Schizosaccharomyces pombe: one gene and its partners. Changing the gene in region 1 together with any one later gene gives a genetic interaction. Each region holds a gene or a part of one and is shown in the gene's direction. Other genes may lie near its edges.

What was found.
Region 2: mutations in irs4 (region 1) and ypt71 together harm fitness more than expected from each alone (negative genetic interaction), as found in Schizosaccharomyces pombe (one large-scale study listed by BioGRID).
Region 3: mutations in irs4 (region 1) and uck2 together harm fitness more than expected from each alone (negative genetic interaction), as found in Schizosaccharomyces pombe (one large-scale study listed by BioGRID).
Region 4: mutations in irs4 (region 1) and arv1 together harm fitness more than expected from each alone (negative genetic interaction), as found in Schizosaccharomyces pombe (one large-scale study listed by BioGRID).

The regions. Positions count from the first base shown.
Region 1 is NC_003424.3:912,945-920,287, forward strand, and holds irs4 (ENTH/VHS domain protein), read left to right. Parts: upstream 1-2,017; 5' UTR 2,018-2,147; coding exon 2,148-6,287; 3' UTR 6,288-6,831; downstream 6,832-7,343. Other genes in the region: SPOM_SPAC1687.07 (uncharacterized protein), read left to right, coding at 713-1,087; SPOM_SPAC1687.08 (uncharacterized protein), read left to right, coding at 1,384-1,674; protein mcp1, read left to right, coding at 7,029-7,343.
Region 2 is NC_003424.3:1,880,198-1,883,929, reverse strand, and holds ypt71 (GTPase Ypt71), read left to right. Parts: upstream 1-1,982; 5' UTR 1,983-2,019; coding exon 2,020-2,100; exon of another isoform or gene 2,101-2,451; coding exon 2,452-2,550; exon of another isoform or gene 2,551-2,604; coding exon 2,605-3,051; 3' UTR 3,052-3,232; downstream 3,233-3,732. Other genes in the region: glutamyl--tRNA (Glu) ligase Mse1, read left to right, coding at 1-1,459; antiparallel microtubule cross-linking factor Ase1, read right to left, coding at 3,326-3,732. UniProt on the Schizosaccharomyces pombe protein: Ypt/Rab-type GTPases are key regulators of membrane trafficking and intracellular vesicular transport.
Region 3 is NC_003424.3:1,838,678-1,841,822, forward strand, and holds uck2 (uracil phosphoribosyltransferase), read left to right. Parts: upstream 1-1,943; coding exon 1,944-2,606; downstream 2,607-3,145. Other genes in the region: protein toe1, read left to right, coding at 1-175, 293-1,616.
Region 4 is NC_003424.3:1,890,542-1,894,404, forward strand, and holds arv1 (Arv1-like family protein Arv1), read left to right. Parts: upstream 1-2,002; 5' UTR 2,003-2,012; coding exon 2,013-2,099; exon of another isoform or gene 2,100-2,384; coding exon 2,385-2,519; exon of another isoform or gene 2,520-2,574; coding exon 2,575-3,153; 3' UTR 3,154-3,305; downstream 3,306-3,863. Other genes in the region: pof15 (F-box protein), read left to right, coding at 379-1,110. UniProt on the Schizosaccharomyces pombe protein: Mediator of sterol homeostasis involved in sterol uptake, trafficking and distribution into membranes. Also regulates the sphingolipid metabolism.

The DNA.
Region 1 (7,343 bases):
AAAAAGGAAAGTGGATTTATCGAATCATCAGGCAAATTCGTGTTTCGCGAGTTTTTACATATCAAGAAATTTACGTTACTTATAATTGATGGTTAGTTAATCGTTTATTGCTTCATTAATTTACATCTGCTTCGTATCTTGAATGGAATGTTCTTGCTATGTTAACCATCTCGGATCGAGCAATTTAATTACTGTATATACGAAATTACAATTATTAAGTTAGAAATCATTTAAATAACTGAGAAGTATTGACTTTGTGTCTTTGCTGCGCACTGAATAAAGTGATTTGGTAAGCCTCACTTACTGACCTATCTCATCATCTACCTACCTAAAGAATCTTCATAATTAGCACAACTAGTCGTTCAATTGGTTTTCAATCTCTTTAATTTCATTATATTTTGCAAAATCAAGTACTTGCGTAATCGTTTATGGTCAGTATTTGATTTTGAGCGCATACCCCTAGCCTTAAGTTTTTTTTTTTGTTTTACTACTTGTGGTCATTAACCCGACGAAACTCTGCATGTTGTTTTAACCATACAATAATTTCCTTTTTTACTATCATATCAAATTCGCTATTATCAAGAAAATCCATATTAACGAGTCAGGTCGACTTGAAATTAGACTGTTTGGACTTCTCCTTCTAAACGGAATACGTTAACATTATTATTTTCAAGTGTTTTACTTATCTAAATATTTGTCTTTATAGCCGAATATGGCAAGTTTTCATATAATCGTTTCTTATGTCACTGTTGTTTTGGCTATAATTATCGCCATTACATTTGCTGCTAGAAGATTTTGGATATCTCGCTATCGAAGTATCAGATATTCACCTGTTGAAAATTCTTTTGAAGCAGATTTCAACAATGGGCTTAACTCCAGTTCATTTGATATCGCCCAAAATATTCTAGCTCAGGACACTCGGGCCGGCCTGGACGAAGCCGCTACTTCACAAATTCGTGGATTGATGAAACAGCTTCAGTGCTCATTTGATCAGGCAAGACTCATCTATATCCGTAAAGTCATGAGTGACAACAACGTTGACTCTACCGGCATGCCACTTGACAATAAAGCTGTTACAAAACTTTAAATGTCATTAAGCAACAACTGAAATCAGAAAATTACGCAAAGTCCTAAAAAATCTTAGTTAGTGTCTCCGAAAATATCTCAAAATCTTCATCGGCGGCCGGAATTTATTTTTTATTTATTTTTCCAGAATGGTATGTTAACTCATGGATACGAAAACATGTGGATACCGATTTATTTCGTTAGTTATGGAAACGAAATATAACATTGTCATAAGCTTTCTCAAACTTTTTACGATTCATGGACTTCCAAATCTTCAATTACTGCTAACGCTATCAATAATTCTTAAGAATTAATGAAATGTTTATCTTCAATGTTCTGACGATCCGCTGTACTTTCCATGTTCTATTTGCTATATGTTACTTTTGTGATCATTTGCTGCAATATATCAGCAATTCTCGAGATAGTAAGGCTGGTCTAAAAATTTTTTTAGTATTCGAACTAGCTGTTACTATTTTCAATACGGTAATGCTTCAATTAGCTAACCGTGTAAAAAACGGGCTCACCCTTGCAATATTGATTGTCTCTGTTGTAATGTTTGTGTATCATCAACAGCTAATAGTTAATTGCAAAAAGATGCTAGCCTTATAATTATTTGCTTTTCAAATTCCTTGAAGAGTAAAATTTTGAAGAAATATTTTGTTTTATCATGTTTGATAATGATCAAAGTGAAATTTCGTTTATTGTTTAGTTTATTATTGATACTTTAAGAGTCAGTAAGCTTATTAAAAGAGAGGTAACATTGTTTTTGAAACTGCGTAAGCAATATACGGGGCAGCAAGGAAGAGTGACAAAACTGGTGAAAAGTTTTAAGGTAATTGTTTAGCGCAGTACTCAGAGTCATTTAGCAATGCGTCATCTGGTATGTAACCCGCAAGGAAAAATCACATGTATGCTACTTCCATCAGTGCAGTCGTTTTGTAACCTTCTTTCTACAATTCATAACACACAACCTCTTTCTTTTTTTTGAACAATCTGTGAGGGTCTTATCGATTTAGACAGCATTTCGCCTCCTTCATTCATTATTTATTATATTCCCTGATGTAGAACAAGAAGGCCTTGCGATGGACGCGATTCATCCCGTATCTTTACGAAATAGTAAAAGACATCCATTACTGCATTCTGAAAGAAACCTCAGCCGCCGTGCAGTTTCTCCAAGCATAAGCAGATCATTTTTTCAGCATTCTAATGGATCCTTTCCCCTATTTCAGAACCACAGAAAGAGCTTACCTTCCGCTATATATAAATCCGTAGATCCATATGTTGATGCCAACCCACTAGATCCCTTAGCTGCTGCCAAAGCGAGTTTTGCGGATTTTCCTGAACAAGATGATTCTCAAAGTTCCACTAGTCCTTTATCCTCGAAGTATCACACCAAAAAGAATAAGCAAATTTTTGTCGAGGATTCAAGAAGAGGCGGGGCGGCTTCGAACGCGGCTGCCATTGCGGCTAAAAAGAGTGGTTATTATGAACGTACATCAACTAGAAAACGGTCGTTGACCGTTCCAACACCTCGTACATCTTTTCCGCATCATCCTCGAAGTCGACGATTTTCATTAAAGAATGCCGCAATTGCCACTTCTTACCACAAATTCAAACCTCTTTCATCCAATTCACTTTCTTCTTCCGGTATGCATTTTTCCGCTAGTAAACAGGCCTTCAACTCTCCTTTACTACAGACTTTCAGTCCTTCCCCTTCTGTATCTCCATTTTCGAATCCAGCCGTAGAGAAATTGAAAACCAGTGCGAGCAAGCAAGCGGCTGAAGCACAATCTTTAAGAGAGTTTGATTTTTTCACTCCTACTCCTGAACCCTCAGATAAGAATTTGGAAAAGCTGAAAAATGGTGCCAGTAAACAAGCTAGCGAATCCCAATCTCTCAAAAACATGGAATCACTTTCATTAGCAAGATCTTCACCAATCCTTACTTCAGAAAAGTTAAAAAATGGAGCTAGTAAGCAGGCTATTGAATCTCCACCTTTCAGAGCTTCGGAACCACTACCTTCATCAAATATTATACCGAATCCTGCTATGGAAAGGTTAAAAAATGGAGCTAGCAAACTAGCTATTGAGTCCCAACCATTTAAATCAGCGGAACCGTTATCTTCAGCAATTCCACTTCCCAATCCTATGTCCGAAAAGATGAGAAATGGCGCCAGCAAACAGGCTATTATGGCCCAAAGCTCAAAAATCAATCCCTTACCGCCACTAACAGCTTCAATTTCAGACCCGTCTTTTGAGAAATTAAAGAACACTGCTAGTAAACAGGCCATTGAATCTCAATCTCTAATGAATAGTGGCCCTGAACTTTTAGAGCCGTCGATTTCAGACCCAATGTTAGAGAAAATGAAGACTGATGCTGGTAAACAGACTGTTGAATCTCTGTCGTTGAAGAGTTCTGACGCTACAATTCCAAAACCATCAGTATCAGATCTTGGGGTAGAAAAACTTAAAAATGATGCTAGTAAATGTGCTGTCGAGTCTCAGTCCTTAATGATTAATGATCCCTCTGTTTCTTCAACCTCATTTTATAACCCAAATATGGAAAAACTGAAAAACGGTGCCATCAAGCAAGCTATTGAGCACCAAGCTTTAAATGCTGCCATTTTGAATAAGACACAATTACCTTATTTTCATCAATCATCTTCCGAACTACCAATATCTGCTAGCAAACGGGCTGCATTGTCTCAACAAACAGAGTCGGCCTCAAAGTCATCTAGTAATATCTCTGAAATGTGTGATTCACATCCTCCTTCTAACTTTTCAATCTCTGCTAGCCAGCAAGCTAGCAAGGACCGTTTTTCGGAGGCTACTTCTTCTATCGATTTGGATCTGAGTCCTGGTAGAAGTCTCTCTTTGGCTTCTAGTAAGCTTTCTGTGAAAGAAGCTGGTGCTCGCGTTTATAATAGAAGCGTTGCTACTCCAGTAATGACGCCGTCCAACCCATTCGAAATTTCCAAATCAGCAAGTCAGTTAGCGAGTATAGCTCAAGTACCTGTTTCCGAACCCGCAAAGACTTCAGAAGTGAACCTTAAAAAAAGCCTTTCCTTAGCTTCTAGTAAACTTTCTTTTCAGGAAGCTGGTACCTCCCTTAAAGAGAAGACTGCAAATGTTCAACATTCCCCGGAAGTTTTGAATGACCGCTCTTTGGCGTCACTTTCTGCTAGTCGGCATGCTGATGCCATATCTTCGAAAAGCAAACAACATACTGAAATCGCGCAGCCAGCATTTAATACGACTGGAACTGTGCTAATGAAGACAAAATCAAACCTTTCAGATTCTGCGTTAAGCACACCACAACATTCTGATTCGGTGCTTTTCGATATTACTTCTAAGGCTGCAAGGCTCGCTTCTACTTGTGCTAAGACAGATCTACACAGGAAACCAAGGAGAAAACATAAATCATTTACCCTTGAGAATTATTTTGGGCATAATGCTGAAGACGAAAGCCCTCAATCTGACGAGGTTGAAAGTCAAACGCCCCCTTCAGGATATTCTGAAAACGATATCGGCGGAACGGACATATACCCTTTTGCTTTACAAGGAGCTGCTTTGGCTGCCGCGAAAGACTTTTCAAGACGTGAAGCCTCCTTAAGTGATAGCCAATCCGCTGCTTCTATGGATATGTTGCCTATGAAGAAGAAATTGTCCCATTCATCTGCATCTTCTACCCGTTCTATTAAATCGTTATTAACTAATGCTAACCAAAAGCATATTCATTCCTCTATAAATGAAACTGATGATATTCCTACAATGGCCGCTCATATTGTTGCAACTGGTCAGAAAAATAAAGAAAAAGCACCTTCTTTTTCTAATGATCAGGCCCTTGATCACTTGCTTGGGTCTGCTCATAAACGAATTCCTTCTAATAAAACGGAATGGTCGTCGTCATCATTGCACATTCCTTCGCATAATTCTTTTTCTGACATCCATCATAGGAAAATAGCTGCTCATGCTGCAGCCATTACGGCTGCTTCCGAAAAACTTACACCCTCCATAGAAGAAACGTCGTATTCTTCGTCCAAGGCCCATGATGCGTCTTTGAGTGCTGCCACTCTAGTTGCAAATAAGGATAAACTCATTCACGCACCTACCCCTCAAGTCCTGGCTCCTGTGCTGCCAAAAGTTTCACTTCCTCATCGTCATTCAGTTTCACTTGGTCAAATTCGAGGAGAATCTGAAGTTGAAGGAGATGTTTTTTATGATGCTCCTTCAGATAAAGAAGACCTTGGATCTTCAAACGCTCCTTTAGATGTACCACATGGTGCTAATCGTAGCAGCATGGATGAAGTTAACGGTTCAAAATACGATTACAGTGATGGAATACTTGATGGCTCAGGTCAGTATACTGATAGTGATATGTCCGATGACGAGAACTCTCTCAAAGATTCGCAAAGTTCGGTTTTAAGCTTTTCAGCTGTTCCCACAAAAGTATTGAAATTTAAGTTGCGTGATGTATTGGGTTCTGAGTATTCTCCATCTCCACAACTGCTTGCCTCTTCAAGTGATGTTTCAGGCTCATCGTCAGCAGTACGCGCAGCTATGAAAGCAGACAAAATCTTTCCAGCTGTTCATGAAAACCCACCTCCTTTAAAAACGAAGCAATCAATTGCCAAACCTTCACCTCATACATTGCGAGTTCCTCAGAAAAAGCATAAACATTTTTACCATCGTGATGACGGAAAATACAAGAGTGGAACCAATTTGCGTAAATCCGAAACTGTTGATCTCCCGCAGTTCTTTATTGATGAAAATCGTAGAAAGCTCTATGAAGGGTTGTGGGCTGCTAATAAAGGTTATTTACTGAGCAAATCAGAATATTCCAAACCGAATGATTTGATTTGCAATATTGTTGTCCGCGAACTCTGGTCTCGTAGTGGTGCTCCAACGAGTGTTTTAGCCAAAATTTACGATCTCGTTGATAGACATCACACAGGTGTCTTGGGGCGTGATGAATTTATTGTCGGTATGTTTCTGATCGATCAATATTTGAAAGGCCGCAAGTTACCGTTGAAGGTACCAGACTCTGTATGGCTAAGCAGCAAGCGTATGGGGGATATGCTTTGGCGATTAGAAAAACTGCAGAAAAAGACAGATAATAAAAAACCTTTCTTCAAAAAAAAGAAGAAAAAGAGAAAACATTTGAAAAAGTTTTTCGACTTTAATACAACAGCAAAGGTGAACGAGGGCGCGATGACTGACTAGAGAAATCAACATCGGGTCCTCTTTTTTTTAACGGGAAATATCTTTAAGCTTATCAACATTTATTAAAAAATGGCATTTCGGTATTACTTCATTAAGGTCTTTTCATTTGAAACACTCCGTTGTGAACCTGTTTTCGTAAAGCTTTCGCTATTTTTGCGAACCACGTTTTCAATCAGTTGTTAGTTTGCTTTTGTTAATCGTTAATGATAGTACTTTCTGATCTATTTAAGCTGTCGATTGTTTTACTCAATTTGCAGATATTTCACAACCGAAGCGACCTTTTTAAGCGAAAAGAAGGACTTTATTTTTACATCATAACTTTTCATTTTGCAAAACTTTTATTATTCATTTTTACATTTTTTTATGCATTACCCTTTTTATTACTTGATTAATTACTGAAGCATAGGTTAGATTTACGCTTAACGAATTCCTTGGATACCATTTGCTTGTTTGTTATAAAATTTTTCAAGTATTATTTATATCCTTTAATTAGCATTTTTTAACTATAATAAGCCAACACAAAGGTTTAGCAATTAAAACTAGCCAAAATACTGTTCGATGTAGATTTTTTTTTTAAAAAGACATGACTTCTTTATTAAACAATCTTGCTAGTATGAACTTGTCCCAATCCATAATGTGTTGTGACTCACTTTCGATCCTTAAGTTTAGAGGTAAATAAACCAAGTTCTCCAAGGCCATGATGCCGAACTTCTGTTTTTAATGTTAAAATCATAAGATATTATGGAGTTAGCTAAAATTGGAGACAGGCTTAACAATTATTACAATAATATTTATACACTTTCCGAAAAACTTGGGTATTCGTTTACAAAGATCAGTTTTAACAATATCATCTTGGACGCTTTGTCAGGACACCAAAGAAAATTGGAGATCAAAATTATAAATATTGAGTCAAAATGCAATGAATTATCTTCTGAGATATCTCTTTTAAGAAAAAGACTGGGCATCATCGAAGAAATCGAAATACCGCGCACTCTAATTGACCAATATGAATGCCTGGTAACTTACCATAATGGTATTCGAGCAATCTATAACACG
Region 2 (3,732 bases), 970 kb from region 1:
TCCTACAGGGTTCTTGCATCTTGGATCTCTAAGAACAGCTTTATTTAATTACTTGTGGGCCAAGAAATCGAACGGGAAATTTATTTTGCGCCTAGAAGACACTGATCAAAAGCGAAAAGTAACGGGTTCAGACTTGGAGATTTATAAAGTACTAAAGCAGTTCAATCTTCAATGGGATGAAGGACCAATCGTCGGTGGTCCCTATGGTCCTTATGAACAGTCGAGCCGTTTACAAATTTACCAAAAGTATGCTCAGCACTTAATAGAAACTGGGAGAGCCTATGTATCTTATTCGGTCCCTATCGCTACTACCAAAATTGATTCATCTACAAAATATCATGAAATATCAATTGATGACTTGACTGATGCTCAAAGAAAGCTTTATAAATCTAAAAAATTCCCTTACGTTGTTCGATTCCGAATGAAGGAACCTTCACCATTCACTGATTTGGTGTATGGAAAAATTGCAATAAAATCAGATTCCAGAGAAATAGAGGAATCTAATAATTTTGTAATTTTAAAATCTGATGGATTTCCCACATACCATTTTGCCAATGTCGTTGACGATCATTTAATGCATATCACTCACGTTATTAGAGGAGAGGAATGGGTACCATCTACGATTAAGCATATACAACTTTATGAAGCATTTGGATGGAAACCTCCCAAATTTGCTCATCTTCCACTTTTAGTCAACCCTGACGGGTCAAAGCTCAGTAAGCGACAAAATGATGCACATGTATCTAGTCTTCTTCAAGAAGGGTTTCTTCCTGAAGCAATTCTTAATTTTATTGCCTTAATGGGCTGGTCTTCGCGTCAGAAAAGTGATTTTCTCCCGATGAAAGAACTTATCGATCTGTTTTCGATCGATAAACTAACAAAGAGCTCCTCAATTGTTGCCTTTGAAAAGCTTTACTTTTTAAACAAAAATTACCTGAGGAGAGCGATATCAGATGTTAACAGACTCGATGAGCTTATCGAACTGGTTCAGCCGAGGTTGATCCAAAAGTTTTCTCATTCTTCTAGAAGTCATGACAAAAGTTACACTAAAAAACTCTTGCTACTTTTAAAAAATAAAGTGCACACGATTAAGGAGTTTGAGAAGATAGTGTTCTATTTTTATGAGGCATCTGACCTTCAACAAATTAGAAGTTTAGTTTCCTCCCTCATCACGGTAGAAGAGCTTCCAAAAATTTTAACAACAATTTTAAACAAGTTCGAAACCATCGAATGGAATACTCATGAGATACAGATTAGTTTAAAAGAAATTGCCATGGAGCATCAGATGCCTTTGAAAAAAATACAGTCTTTACTTCGATATGGCTTATGTGGAAATCTGCCTGGAGGAGGTATTAGCGATACTATTAGTTTATTGGGGAAGGAAACAGTAAAATCCCGTTTGGAGCGTTTACTATTATCACTAAAGCATGAATTACCCAAAAGAAGTTGTATCGTATAATTCTAACTAACCAGATACAATCGTTTTTTCTTTGATACTTTTGATGCAGAGAATATAATAGCATTTTTATCAATCGTATATCTACAATGCGTTTTACGGAAAGGAACTTTATGCACAAATATAAATTCTCATTAGATTAGCTACAAAAAAAAGCAAGTAGCATCATTCAACAAATTTGTTGTAAGCAGTAAATGTTCAATAACTTTCAAAGTGAAATATAAAATCAAATTCACTGATTTTCTTTATGTAAAAGCAAATTATTAGTTTGCTTACAGTACTAGTTGACTTCCCAGGATAGTAGTCAGATAACTAGATCCTTCACTGTAATGTCTATTGAAAGCAAATGTATCTTATTAAAAACTTAGTGAGTTATTCGTTTTCGTTAAATATTGTTATAAAAATTTACGGTAAAGATTCGTATTTAAAACAACGCTATGCAACGAAGTATTGTAATGCTACTTACTGTAATGTGTCAAACTGAAAGACACTATCAATGCTGTCCCAGATGGACATTCTAAGGGCTGAACTTCTTACTACCAGGTACGACAGAATATACTTCAATGTCGGCTCAGAAAAGGGTGTTTTTAAAGGTTGTTATATTAGGAGATAGTGGCGTTGGAAAAACATGTTTAATGAATCAGGTATGTTAATGCTAGGGGAGTTGCTGATGTGGTCGACGTATCGTACAGACGAGCTTTTTTAAGCATTACCCTCGAATTCAACCATTGATGGTGTAGTGGTTATCAATTGAAGCGTTAAATTTTATACGTTCAGTATATTTTTCTTTTTGGTTTTTGTATTGAGCTGTAAAATCCAATACTGCAATTTCCCATTGATTTTATGTCGATAAGTTGTTATTTGTCGCTACAAGGTGATTGCTTTTAAAATTTATTCACTTTGTTATTAAATACTAGCTCAAATATGGTTAACGATCTTTACATCAGCTTCTCTATGAGTATTGCTTTGGCAATTTGTTAACATCGTCATTTTAGTTCGTCAATCAAAAGTTTAGTCGCGAATATAAAGCTACCATCGGTGCTGATTTTTTAACCAAGGACGTTGTGGTTGACGACAAATTGGTCACATTACAGGTAAGTTCCAATATAAGTTCCGCCCATCTAAATTCGTTTGCTAATTATAAACAGCTTTGGGATACTGCTGGTCAAGAACGATTTCAAAGCCTGGGAATGGCTTTTTACAGAGGGGCCGATTGTTGTGTAATTGTTTATAATGTGAATAACTCGAAGTCTTTTGACTCAGTAGAAAACTGGAGGCAAGAATTTTTATATCAAACTTCACAAGATGAATGTGCATTCCCTTTCATTATCGTTGGAAATCAAATCGACAAAGACGCGTCTAAACGAGCCGTATCTCTTCATCGAGCTCTTGACTATTGCAAATCCAAACATGGATCAAATATGATTCATTTTGAAGCTAGTGCAAAAGAAAATACAAACGTTACTGACCTTTTCGAAACAGTCAGTCGTTTAGCTTTAGAAAATGAAAGCTCGAGAGATGACTTTGTTAATGACTTCTCTGAACCTTTGCTTCTTTCAAAGCCTTTGAATAATACATCTTCTTGTAATTGCTAGATATTCACACGCTCTCTCAGATTCTTTTACATTTCAAAATGTGCTATACGTTTTCTTTTCATAATATTTTTTTACATTGCTATTTTAACAAAACTATGGTTACTTTCTGTTCTTAATTCTTCTCTTTTCCCTCTATTGATACACGTTTTTTTTTAGGTGTAAATAGTCTTTTAATTATGACCTCAGTTAATAAACTTTTATGAATTATCTATATGCTGTATTCATATGCAAAAATATGTATATTTAAATTTGATCGATTAGGTAAATAAGAAGCTTAAAAGCCTTCTTCTCCCCATTCATCCTCCATCGGTGTACAATTTGTAATATTGTTGAGTGGAGCAGAAAAAATGTTGGTAGTGGGGGACGGTGATGATGGAATTGTCTTTACGGGTGATGCTCTTATGGGGGATATCTTCATAGGAGAAAAAGGAAGGTTCTGCGAGCTGTTTTCAATGTCCATCTCGGGTGTTTGTTCTTTCAGATTAGTTCTTTGCAATTTTTCCGACATAATATTTAAAGCGTGTTCATTAACTACACGCTGCTTTGGAGGACTTAATGGGACGTTCTTAGATGAAGCCTTTGAATACGTTTCATGAGGAGTTCGAGAGTAATTTGGGTGCGGTGACTTGGATTCAAAATGTGTATTGCGAGATACAGAATTTGGAAACTTGTTAAAAGGGG
Region 3 (3,145 bases), 930 kb from region 1:
AGCAAAAAACGAGATGCCTGGCAGGTTCTGTTGAGGATGAAAACCGCGCGTGCTTAAGATGCCGCTCTTTGAACATGGATTGTAGCTTGGCTGATCCAAATCACTTTATACGAAAAGTGGAAAATGACAATATGGATGCTATTAGCGCGAATATCAACTCAAAACTAGAAAACAGGTATGAATATATTTGTTTTATTCTTAAGACTTTTTAAAAACCCATTCCTCTTACTGTAGTCTTGTTGTTGTAATACCATCTTTCAAACTAACAAATTTACTAAACTGCTTATTATAGACTCAAGGTATTGGAGAAGGCCATCAGTTCTATCACAAATTCTCCTATTGCAGGCCAGATTTCCCTCAAATCCGAAAAAGACGTTTTCCTCCAGGGTTTACTCTCCATGGATGAAATCGAATTGCTCTTGGAAATTTTTATAGAGCGCTATGGTAAGCGCTGGCTCTCTGTCGACTACAGTGCTTCCCAGTACATGGAACTACTATACACAAAATCACATTTGATGCTTGCAACCGCTTGTCTCATTGCTTTAAGACACAATCCCTCTCTGAAAGCTAGGATTTACACGGACGTACTAAACATCGTGGACCGCCTTATCTCAGAGGAATTGCTCACTACTTCACCTTCCCTACAGTTTTTCGAGGCTGTATCTATGCTAACCCTTTATCGACCGCTTCGGCTTTCCCAAAAACAAGATCTCTGGCTCCTCAGCGGGTTTGCTTTGCAACACAGAACGCTTTCGAGCACCAAGGGATGGTTCAACGGTTTTGCGGGATCTAGCGCTACACTAACTTATCTCGATATCGTTCCCGCAAGAACGTGGAATCACCTCTGCCATGGTCATTTGGTTATGTGCATGGGATATCGTCGTCATGCTATGTTGGATGAAAATACTTTTGATGATTGTCGTAATATATTAACAAATACTAAGGCTAATGAATTTGACGGAAACATTTTGGGAATGCTCTCTGTATACTCCATGCTATACAGAATGCTGCGATCCCCTACCCTCGATTTGGATTATGCAATATTTCAGCTTGAAGAATGGCGCAAGGAATGGTGTCATCTTTGGGAACAACCCGAGCCGCAATATTCTCGGATTGCCTATTTTTATTCCTACAATGTCGTTTACGAGGCCAGCATCCAAACAGCTACGGATGGTAATGACTTTGCGAACATACCGCGGTATGTTAGCATGGTGCAAAGTTATGCGCTAAAAACAATTGATGCAATTTTTGAATTGTCAGCTTACGATATGTCTCGTTGCTCCGATCATGTCTTGTTTCACGCGGGTTTTGCATCTGCAAGTTTACTGCGATTGATTTACGCTGCAAAAACAAAGGAGGTAGACACTTCTATCGTCCAGCCTAAAGTTTTGAATGACCTTGTAACTAAAATATGGAAATGGTTGCTTGTTATCAGTGTCGACCAATATCATTTGGCTACAAAGTTTGCTAATTACCTGAAGGAATATCAAAAAACCGTTAATGAAGGCACTGCTGAAAGCACCTGGTTTAAAGGACCACTGCGACCTGTTTCAAGCACTACGTTACAAGCTCTTAAACCGTACAACCTTGGAGTCGCTACTGTGGAACGTGGCTAATCTTTGCCCCATAGAGCCCGCGTTTGTGCCTCGGTGCGATAGCGCGGTTGTTCCGCAATAGCTTAATCAAAGACGGTCGGAAATTCCGCGGTTGAAAATCGGCTGTAAAGTGTCTGAAAAAAACTAAAAACTGGCGATCTAAAAGATATAAAGGAAGAATTCTTGGCCCTGAATAGAGAAAAAAGTTTCCACATTTGACTGTTTACGAACTTACCTCTATCTTACGAATTTTGTAAAAAATTCCTTTTGTTACATCAACCTTTTCTTATCGAATTTCAGTTTTTTTTTGAATTGAATCGTTTTGTTAAATTAAAATTTCCATCCAATATGTCCATTCCTCTTGAACAGCCCGAGAATGTCGTGGTTCTCCGTCAGACCATGTACTTGTTATCATTGATGACTATTCTTCGCGATCAGCAAACCGGCCATTCAGAGTTTGTGCGCACAGCCAATCTCATTATCAACATGCTAATGCAAGAAGCATTGAGTGCTTTACCTTATAAGAAATGCTTAATAAAGACTAGTTCCGGCGGCACCTATACTGGCGTCCAACCAGCTAGAGATATATGCGGCGTCAGCATTTTAAGAGCTGGAGAGAGTATGGAATATGGATTGGCCGCTGCTTGCAACTACTCAGTTCCCGTCGGCAAGTTATTGGTGCAAAGAGATGAAACTACGTTTGAAGCTAAATTGATGTTCTGCAAGTTACCCAAGGATGCACAGGATCGTTTGGTTTTGTTGCTAGATCCCTTATTGGCTACGGGAAATTCTGTAATTCTCGCCATTCAAACTCTGATCAACAAGGGGATCCCAGAAGAAAACATTGTGTTTGTTAATCTCATTGCATGCAATGAGGGGATTACTAATGTCTTTGCTAAGTTTCCCAAGCTTAGAATGGTTACAGCGTCTATTGATCCCGAATTGAATGCTAATAAATACGTTGTTCCTGGATGCGGTGATTTCGGTGACCGCTACTTTGGCACTTGCTAGAATCGTTGATCTTTCATCTCATCAGTGTATATCTCTTTCTGATCCATTCATTGTATTTTAATTACCCTAATTTTTATTCGTTCTCGTTCATTTCGATATATTAACCTTAGATATAATCAATTGTAACATCTATTTCATCAAAGCCCTGTACACTGCATATCCTCGCGATTTATTTAATTTATTATACTCAAGTCCATACCGTGACATTCGACAAACCTTTAATTAATAAACATAATTTTACATCCATTTTTTCACGAGTTATTTCAGTAATCTTTAATCTCTGTTTTCCAACATTCTGTGTTCAATAAGGCGTGTTATTTCCATTTGATGTTTGATTTTTATAGAACATCCTATGTTACTTCTGTAACTATTACCATAATAAAGATATGTCGCTTACTTACTTTTGAAGTCATCCCTTTAGTAGATAAACAGCTTTATTTAGTGTAATATGAATACGCTTACTGTCTAAACGCAACAAATATGCATAACCTATTAATACACTTCATTCATTAACTAGCAATACATTATAAACAAAGATG
Region 4 (3,863 bases), 980 kb from region 1:
GTGAGACGTAAAGCGTTCAATTGCAAGGTTTCCCCATTGCTAGTCTCGTTGACAGTCATTCCTTGGCTTTAGAAAAAGAAGTTTGCTTATTTACTTTTTTCACTAATTTTGGAATTCCGTCTTTTTGAGCTACTTGTTTGTTTAGACATTTTAATTCTTTAATTGTTTACAATTTACTGTCTTTTTTCCTTCATAATAGAAACGCATATCGAGGTTTGAATAGGTCGAAATAGAAATATTTTGTTTTGTTAATCGTCCATCATCTCATTTCATTCACATTCCATCGATCGGTGCTATATTCTCTTTATTTATTCAGCTTAATTGCCCGATTTTTTTTTTAAATTATTTCTTACCTTTTTTTTTTTGGTTTGGTAAAAAATGAGCTGTGTTACTAGAGCCCCCATGTCTGTACCCCAGACTGCCCTTCAACCTAATTCCTACGTTAATTTCGACGCTCAACAAACATCTTCTACTCTGCTTCCAGTAGAAGTCATTGACTCGGTCATGCAGTATTTACCTGCACACGACGTTATCCAGTCTAGCTTCGCCAGTTATCCATTGACTTTGATTGCCAACAAGATCATTCGTGCTCGTCTTTCCTTCTTAGACGAATATTCACTTCGCGTTTTTGCAAAGGATGTCTATACCGATTCACCGATTTGCAACTTGTCTGCCCGTCGCGGTTTGTATTCTTTACAATATGATGGTTATTCGGTATTCCACTTGGATCCTAACAATTGCTCCTCTATTTTTCAAATCTCCTTTGAGGACGACGAGGATCTAGCTTCTTTTGAACGATACCCTGGGGAGTTTCTTGCTCCCCATATCAATGTTCGAATTCACGTTACCTTGTCTCGTTCTTCCTGCGATCGTCATCAAGCCGATATATTTTCTTGCTTTCAAGATCCTATTCGTGTCCGCCGGGATTGGCTTGATTCGATAAAACCCGGTCAACCTGAAACACTTTGGTTTGATCAAAACACTCAACATGTCATCGGTCTAATTGTTACAAGAGTTGATGCTGCTCCTGGAAAGTATGATCTTTCTGTTACATCTGTTATTGTTCAAACGGAGTACCTTTTATCTTGCCTCGAGAAAAGAGTACATTAAAAAAGAACTTTTTCCATTCTGCATTGTTTAATATTCTATTATTTAATTCTCATGAGACAATCATGATTGCGTTCCGTTTTCTTTTAATGTTTATTTTCGTTGCTTGACAAGCCTGTGTCGCTCACGACTTCTTTGTTTGACATTTTGTACTTATTATTCTTTTAATTAAAAATTTAATTTACCTGTGATGTATGTTTTGCTGTGTTAATACATCCTGGTTTCTCATTTAATAAATGCGTTTATACATTTTACGCAGTCGACTGGTTTTTTTTTTCAGCGTTGTTTTAATTTCATTCAGCATTTGGCTTCATGTACAAAATTTATTTCTTAACATTTTTTTTCTAATAAACTTTTTTTTGTTGTACTGAAAAGTAAAAACCTACCTTTTTTTAAATTGCTCAATCAATTGAATGTTGTTTTCACGTTTCTCATTTCTACGAATATTTTAGCCTTTGTAAAATCTTTTTAATAGACGCTTAATCTTGTAAATGTGACTAAGTCTATACTACGTTCTTTCGCTCCAGTCAGTCTGCATTGTTTTGAGAGTTAGTGATTTTATGCTGGAATCGACGTGGTTATTTCGCAAATCTTTTAAATATGTAGTGAAAGCAGTATTTGTTTATATTATTGAAGAACTGTAAAATTTAGGTTTGACATTGGTGGTTTTTTGGCTTTACAACTCGTCTGTTAACGGAATTGGGTAGTGTTCAAATAAAATTTAAAATTGGTAGAACTCTGGGATAAGTTTTAGTATTTATGTTTCTATGCAAATAAAGATAAGCTTACTTGTTTCATTTTTTCTTTAAATTCTATATATCTTCATTGTTTTTACATGTCAACCAAGAATACGAATGTTTGGTTCATAAACATACCTCAATACATTGACACCACCACCCGTCACCATGAAATGCGTCGAATGCGGCGCGGAAGTCGATTCTTTATACACATATTATGGAAGGGGTACCAGTAATATTCGACTAGCTCAATGCGTAAGTAATATACACACAATATGTTTCGTTGATGTAGTCAACTTGATCGTAAGGAGCTAAGGGCAAGTCCATTCCAACGGCGACGAAAAGAAGCTTCATGAATATTTTTCTCTTCAAATATAATTTACATTATTGTAAGCAAATGACGATCATTCAATTTTTGTCTCCATTTATCTTGCTTAATGAATACTGAGAGTGGAATGCGTAGTCTTGCTGTAATCGTTAAGATCGACTTGTTCTTTAGTTTTTTTTAAGTACAATTTCAAACTAACGACTATGTTACAGAAAAACTGCAAACAGTTTGCGGACAAATACATTGAATTAGATGTTGTTCTCATCAGCATGGATGTAATTTTGATGAAACCGCAAGTTTACCGTCATCTTTTGTTTAATTCTCTGTCGGCACGAACATTTCGTAACGTAAGTATTTTATTCATTTCAATGGCTTTTTAAATAGCTGACAAAATGCGCAAAGGTTGTCAATTTCTGCATATTAATTTCCCTTTTCAACGTTTTTTTAGTTTGGTCACGACTAGAAAAACGCGCAGCCCTCTTCCCCTACTTCACACCTGCCCAAGCATTTCTCTCCCAGCCAATTATCCGGCAGTACTTGACTTTACTGCTAATATGTTTGGTTGAGACAACTGTGTATCAAATTTCAGTAGTTCTGTTATTATGCCTAACAATGGGTTGGAAATCTTGGACTTCTGCGTCTGGCGCTGTAATACTTTCTTCTAGCACAAGAATGCTACCCGTTTTCATGGTAATTTGGGACTACGACCTTTCTATAGCGGCAACCGTCGTAGAATGGGTAGTTTTGTTTAGCAATGTGGATGCGCTATGTATATTAACTGGAAGCCGGCGGTATTTTAAAATTGGCTTAATCGTTCTTTTTGCCAGTCTCGTGAGATCTATTGTCGTTTATATTTTTTTACATTTAACAGGACTTTCACAGATTCAACCATCAACTCCTTGTGATGGGTTTCAGCATTTTGTAAATCTATTATGTGTATACTTTCGTTCAATCACTTTAACTGCGCAAACTGCAGTATAATGACAAAAGGAAATGGGAAACAATACGGCATCGACATAGTGTATCAGTTATTAAAAGTTTTTATATCACCCGTTTTAAGAAACTGGTCAATTATTAGTTCTTTAATAAGTTGTTGATATTTAAAAAATATGAATTTGATGAACCAATTGAAACCGAAGCCAGTAATCATATTTCCTAATCTTGTAATATGAAACTTGAAATGGTCTAAATAAAAATAATAATTACACCCTCAAAGCATATAGATATGTAATAGATACAATTATATAGAGGAAACACTGCAAGGAAATAAAAAAGGCAAAAAACTGAAAAAAGTAAAACTATTTTGCTGAGCATAACTAAACAAATGATCATTCGAAGATATTTTTCTTACCAGTGGAATTTGTTGCATTTTTTTAATAACAAAGTTCAGAGGTTTGCTTTTGCTGTCGCTAAAGAACCCATCACAATTTTATCAGCTACGATATTTTTTAAATATTTAATCAATATATGTATATAAGTCTTTGTTCATTATACATTTGTTTAGTTATAGAAGCAACCAGGTCAGCTAACACCGTCTTAGCTCGTAATGTAAAATAAACTCATAGTAAGCGAATGAATATTTCAGTAAGTTTTAAATGAAATAAAAATTAGAAAGTAAGTAATTTATAGAACTGTAAGCAAATGCAATCAGACCCGTTGAGATTGAATACAGTAAACTATTTTTTAAACCC